2 linked regions of the Saccharomyces cerevisiae S288C genome follow. The protein of the gene in region 1 purifies or fractionates together with the protein of each later gene. This does not show direct contact. Each region holds a gene or a part of one and is shown in the gene's direction. Other genes may lie near its edges.

Region 1 (3,139 bases):
TTAATTATTATACGATGTTGTTACTTCGATAAGGTCACAACAGGTTTTCCATTGTTGAGAAACTGACTTTGATTATTATTTAGTTAGTAGGCAACTGTCATGTTGCAACCACAACAAGCAACAATCCTTTCACCATGACTATTATAAGCGGCCGGCAAAATTGCCGGGAAAACTGCCAGGGATATAATGCAACCTTCATTTGAGCACTTAAAATAGAAGATAACGTTGGTAAACCCCCCTTGATAGTGGACACATCCTACGTAGATCTCTCTACAGCCAAGTCGTATATATAGCAGCAAATTGCAACCAACCACATGGGACATAGGAATGAGTGGTTTTCTCAGACCCTGAACGTGACCGTCCATCATGAATTTCTCCACAGTTTTTCAAGCAATAATCGCGGTTTTAGGTTTAACTACAGTCACAGCTTTAGCAGAATTTGATTTCGACGTAGGCTATGAAGAGTTTGTCCGTACCAATCCTGATACGATTTTCTTAGAGAGTGATATTGGCCTGCACGTTGGATATACCGAGGGTGGCGAACGACAGATAGCAACGATACCACACAATTCCACGCTAGGGACTTCACTACGTGAGTATAGTGGCTGTGGTGGTAATGGTACAGAAACCTCCATCGCTACCCCCGCACCTACAATGAGTGAGGTACCTATCGCTACCTTCGTGAAACGTAGAAAAAGTGTACCTATCTTGCTACCGCAGGTATGTATGTGAAGAGTTGGTGAATTTTGAGATAATTGTTGGGATTCCATTTTTAATAAGGCAATAATATTAGGTATGTAGAATGTACTAGAAGTTCTCCTCGAGGATTTAGGAATCCATAAAAGGGAATCTGCAATTCTACACAATTCTATAAATATTATTATCATCATTTTATATGTTAATATTCATTGATCCTATTACATTATCAATCCTTGCGTTTCAGCTTCCACTAATTTAGATGACTATTTCTCATCATTTGCGTCATCTTCTAACACCGTATATGATAATATACTAGTAACGTAAATACTAGTTAGTAGATGATAGTTGATTTTTATTCCAACAGTATGGGAGGTATATGAACCCCTACAACCACTCATTTAGAAGTGGGGGACTGTAGTTCTTTTATGAAGTAACGAAATTTTATGAAGTAACAACAAATGTTGTTAATTGTAATCTTAATAATCTAACATTTAATAAATCTTGACCTTAGACTTTTTTGTCTATTCATAATATGCTGATATTACTTTTCTTAAATATAAATATAATCTATATAATATTATTAACGAAATGTAGGAAGCTAAAAAAAAAAAAAAAAAAAAGAAAGAGACTTTTATGCGTATATTTAGGTACCCCGGTACTTACTTCTGTATATATAAATCAGTGAATCAATACATATTTTTTTTTAATGTTTTGTCCTTATAACGCGACTTATTCAAAAGAAAAAAAGAAGTCCCATGCAAAAATCTTGTCATTATTGCGAATGGATATATCAGTGAGACCTTTTTAAGGTTGTAGGGAAAAGGAAGTACGCTTCATTACAATTTCGTTCATGTCTTGCTCGCCTACTTGTTTTGCTCATAAATCCCATCAGCACCATTGTATGCGCCCTTCGTAGGAAATTAACGCATCTGAAGAAAAAAAGAACTGCAAGATAATGACACACAGCACGGTCATCGACTGTCGAAAGGAAACCTTAAAAAAGTAATCGGCACCTCAACCTTGATGAATTATAATCTATCCAAGTATCCAGACGACGTGTCGAGACTTTTCAAGCCAAGGCCACCTTTATCTTACAAAAGACCAACCGATTACCCATATGCGAAGAGACAAACAAATCCAAATATCACTGGCGTTGCAAACTTACTATCAACCTCTTTGAAGCACTATATGGAGGAGTTTCCTGAAGGATCTCCAAACAACCATCTCCAAAGATACGAAGACATCAAACTTTCCAAGATCAAAAATGCTCAATTGTTAGACCGGAGACTACAAAATTGGAATCCTAACGTTGACCCTCATATCAAGGACACAGATCCCTACAGAACGATATTTATTGGGAGGCTACCATACGATCTTGACGAAATTGAACTGCAAAAGTATTTTGTTAAGTTTGGCGAGATCGAAAAAATTAGGATAGTCAAGGACAAGATAACCCAGAAGAGTAAAGGCTACGCCTTCATAGTTTTCAAAGACCCAATAAGTAGTAAAATGGCATTCAAGGAGATTGGAGTACACAGAGGTATCCAAATCAAAGACAGAATCTGCATAGTCGACATAGAAAGAGGCAGAACCGTTAAATATTTCAAGCCAAGAAGATTGGGCGGCGGCCTAGGAGGCAGAGGCTATTCCAACAGAGACAGCAGGCTTCCAGGAAGGTTTGCAAGCGCAAGTACATCAAATCCCGCCGAAAGAAATTATGCTCCCAGGCTGCCACGCAGGGAAACTTCTTCCTCCGCATATAGCGCTGATAGATACGGCAGTTCCACATTGGACGCGAGGTACCGTGGAAACAGGCCATTGCTCTCCGCCGCCACTCCTACTGCTGCTGTTACTTCTGTATATAAATCTAGAAACTCACGGACTCGAGAGTCTCAACCAGCTCCCAAAGAAGCGCCCGACTATTGAATATAAGTAATACTTAAACTCTGCTACTTGTTGTCTATGATTACCCGCACATCAGTTAATTTGGATACTTTTTTCCCTTTCTCAGACTTTGCCCCTATAACAAAATAAGAGAAAAACAGCCCGCATTTAACACAAGATACTATAGCAAAGGAGACCAGAGAAGACTCAACACAACACACGCGAACGATCAAGCAATGGAAGCCGATTGGAGGAGAATTGACATCGATGCATTTGATCCAGAGAGTGGCAGACTAACCGCTGCCGATCTGGTACCACCATACGAAACTACTGTCACATTACAAGAATTACAACCTCGAATGAATCAATTGCGCTCGCTTGCCACAAGTGGTGACTCTTTGGGAGCCGTTCAATTACTCACAACCGATCCTCCATACAGTGCAGATGCTCCAACAAAGGAGCAATATTTTAAGAGCGTCCTTGAAGCATTGACACAAGTCAGGCAAGCCGATATTGGTAATGTAATCAAAAATTTGAGTGATTCTCAGAGGGACGT
Region 2 (3,759 bases), on another chromosome or scaffold:
TTATTATCAAACAACTTATTTACAATGATATTTCCTCTACGAAAGTGCGGCTTTTCATCAGACGTGGAATGTCAGTTCAATATCTTCTTCCAAACTCTGTCATCCGTTACATCCAAGAGTATAATCTATACATTAATCAAAGTGAACCGGTCAAGCAGGTCTTGGATAGCAAAGAGTGAGTTTATTACAACTCTGATACTGCAGCAGTTCAAATTTACCACTTTCCTCTTCAAGGTGCATAGAAAAAAAGTTCCTGGATGCACGATTTAAAATGTTTACAGCAGAGCAACAATCATGTGAACAATGTCAAACATTTATTTTAACACTTAATAATTATAATATAACCACACCAGCGGTAAGTTTCATAAGGAAAACCTTTCAGACAAACATTCCAGTGAATCGTATACGTAAATCAGCAAAATTAGCTTATAAAATACAGAATCCGAAGATACTTGATCTACTCGCGTTACTATTAATGCGGGTAATGATCTATATTGAATTTTGCACGTCTATAGTAACTTAAAAGTCTTGTAATATTTGAAGTAACAATGCCGTATAATACTGCATAATAGCCCTATCAATCGGAATATACCAAAACATCCTTTATGTCCTGTTCTCAAAATAAGACTTCTGTCAGTCTGGCCTGGCGTGAATGCATATCCATCGCTTCCGTCCTAATTGGCGCGTATGCATCATACAAATACTATAAGCTGTTCAAAACACGCGATATTCCACGTCCAAAAGAAGGCGTTGAAGAACTCATAGGAAACACTCCTCTGGTTAAGATCAGATCTCTTACCAAGGCTACTGGAGTTAACATTTACGCTAAGTTGGAGTTATGCAACCCAGCAGGAAGTGCTAAGGATAGAGTGGCTTTAAACATCATAAAGACGGCTGAGGAATTAGGCGAGCTCGTCAGAGGTGAACCTGGCTGGGTATTTGAAGGAACAAGTGGGTCGACTGGTATCTCTATAGCAGTGGTCTGTAATGCGTTGGGTTATAGGGCACACATTTCTTTGCCCGATGACACATCGCTAGAAAAATTGGCATTACTAGAAAGCCTCGGTGCTACTGTTAATAAGGTTAAGCCCGCTAGTATTGTCGATCCAAACCAATACGTAAATGCCGCCAAAAAGGCATGTAATGAACTAAAGAAGAGTGGTAATGGAATAAGAGCAGTTTTTGCCGATCAGTTCGAAAACGAAGCCAACTGGAAAGTACATTACCAGACCACAGGCCCAGAAATTGCCCATCAAACTAAGGGAAATATTGACGCATTCATTGCTGGCTGCGGTACTGGTGGCACCATAACTGGTGTGGCAAAATTCTTAAAGGAAAGAGCAAAGATACCTTGCCATGTCGTTCTAGCGGATCCACAAGGATCTGGCTTTTATAATAGAGTCAACTATGGCGTGATGTATGACTATGTAGAGAAGGAAGGTACTAGAAGAAGGCATCAAGTTGACACTATCGTAGAAGGGATTGGGTTAAACAGAATCACTCATAATTTTCATATGGGCGAAAAGTTTATTGATGAATCAATACGAGTCAACGATAATCAAGCCATTAGAATGGCAAAATACCTATCGGTAAACGACGGGCTATTCGTGGGGAGTAGTACAGCTATTAATGCGGTAGCCGCTATTCAGGTTGCAAAAACGCTTCCTCACGGCTCAAACATTGTGATTATTGCATGCGACAGCGGTTCAAGACACCTAAGTAAATTCTGGAAAGAAGCTAAAGAAATCGATCACGACGTGTCATTAGAAGAAGTAATAAATATCTAACATAGATGTATAAATCAGTACTGAGTTATCTTCTATTAAATTGTAGGAACAAATATAAAAAAGCAGTTTTCGCTGCTACATTTTTTGCTACTTTCCGTGGTAATGATGCCCGCTAAAAAGTGCAAAAGTAATTAGATAGATCAAGAACAAAAACAGACCAGGACCAAAATCAAGCTCATAAAAGTTCCTTAAGAGTACGTCGATTTACAGAACATGAGGGATATTGTATTTGTATCACCGCAGCTGTATTTGTCATCACAGGAGGGTTGGAAAAGTGATTCTGCCAAAAGTGGGTTCATCCCTATCCTCAAAAATGATCTACAACGTTTTCAGGACTCATTAAAACATATAGTTGACGCCAGAAACAGCTTATCAGAGACACTGCTAAATAGCAACGATGATGGGAGTATACACAATTCTGACCAGAATACTGGTTTGAATAAAGACAAAGAGGCTTCAATAGCAGATAACAATAGTGCTAACAAGTGCGCCACAAGCTCTTCCCGTTACCAAGAGCTCAAACAATTTCTTCCCATTTCCTTAGACCAACAGATTCATACAGTATCTTTACAAGGTGTCTCTTCATCATTTTCTCGCGGACAGATAGAATCATTGCTAGACCACTGTTTGAATTTAGCGTTGACTGAAACTCAAAGCAATTCCGCATTGAAAGTAGAAGCTTGGTCTTCTTTTTCTTCGTTTTTAGATACCCAGGACATTTTTATAAGATTCAGTAAGGTTGATGAAGATGAGGCATTTGTTAATACGCTGAACTACTGCAAAGCCTTATTCGCGTTTATTAGAAAGCTACATGAGGATTTCAAGATTGAGTTACACTTGGATTTGAACACAAAAGAATATGTCGAAGACCGAACAGGAACTATACCGAGTGTTAAGCCAGAAAAGGCTAGCGAATTTTATTCTGTTTTCAAAAACATTGAAGATCAAACAGACGAAAGAAATTCAAAGAAAGAACAGTTGGATGACTCTTCCACACAATACAAAGTGGATACAAACACTTTAAGTGATTTGCCATCGGATGCTTTGGACCAATTGTGCAAGGATATAATAGAATTTAGGACAAAAGTTGTCAGTATAGAGAAAGAAAAAAAAATGAAAAGTACGTACGAGGAAAGTAGGCGTCAAAGACACCAAATGCAAAAAGTTTTTGATCAAATAAGGAAAAACCACTCAGGAGCCAAAGGGAGCGCCAATACAGAGGAGGAGGATACTAATATGGAAGATGAAGATGAGGAGGATGACACTGAAGACGACCTTGCCTTAGAGAAGAGAAAAGAAGAAAGAGACCTGGAAGAATCAAATCGTAGATATGAGGATATGTTACACCAATTACATTCCAATACAGAGCCTAAGATAAAATCCATTAGGGCTGATATCATGAGTGCTGAAAACTATGAGGAACATTTGGAGAAAAATCGCTCATTATATTTGAAGGAGCTATTACACCTTGCCAACGACGTTCATTACGACCACCATAGATCTTTCAAGGAGCAAGAGGAAAGAAGGGACGAAGAGGATAGAGCTAAAAATGGAAATGCAAAGGAACTGGCGCCTATACAACTATCGGATGGTAAGGCCATATCTGCAGGGAAGGCTGCCGCCATCACCCTTCCTGAAGGCACTGTGAAGAGCGAGAACTATAACGCGGACAAGAATGTGTCTGAGAGCTCAGAACACGTCAAGATCAAATTCGACTTTAAGAAGGCTATTGATCACTCAGTTGAAAGCTCTAGCGAAGACGAGGGATACAGAGAGAGCGAGCTACCTCCAACAAAACCCTCCGAGAGAAGCGCGGCAGAGGACCGTTTGCCATTTACAGCAGATGAACTGAACATAAGACTAACTAATCTGAAGGAATCGCGCTACGTGGACGAACTGGTGCGTGAATTCCTCGGCGTCTACGAGGACGAGCTGGTGGAATACATTCTTGAGAACATCCGCGTGAACCAGA

Evidence for each region. Proteins that work in one complex are often made in the same cells at the same time.
Region 2: the proteins of SNP1 (region 1) and SNU71 purify together in Saccharomyces cerevisiae (affinity purification with mass spectrometry; 8 studies listed by BioGRID, with this or other methods). This does not show direct contact.

Annotation. Positions count from the first base shown.
Region 1 is NC_001141.2:244,143-247,281, reverse strand, and holds SNP1 (U1 snRNP complex subunit SNP1), read left to right. Parts: upstream 1-1,722; coding exon 1,723-2,625; downstream 2,626-3,139. Other genes in the region: YIL059C (uncharacterized protein), read left to right, coding at 367-732; YIL060W (uncharacterized protein), read right to left, coding at 456-890; ARC15 (Arc15p), read left to right, coding at 2,820-3,139. UniProt on the Saccharomyces cerevisiae protein: Involved in nuclear mRNA splicing.
Region 2 is NC_001139.9:512,554-516,312, forward strand, and holds the start of SNU71 (Snu71p), read left to right. Parts: upstream 1-2,000; coding exon 2,001-3,759. Other genes in the region: nicotinamide-nucleotide adenylyltransferase NMA2, read left to right, coding at 1-179; MCY1 (putative cysteine synthase), read left to right, coding at 606-1,787. UniProt on the Saccharomyces cerevisiae protein: Component of the U1 snRNP particle, which recognizes and binds the 5'-splice site of pre-mRNA. Together with other non-snRNP factors, U1 snRNP forms the spliceosomal commitment complex, that targets pre-mRNA to the splicing pathway.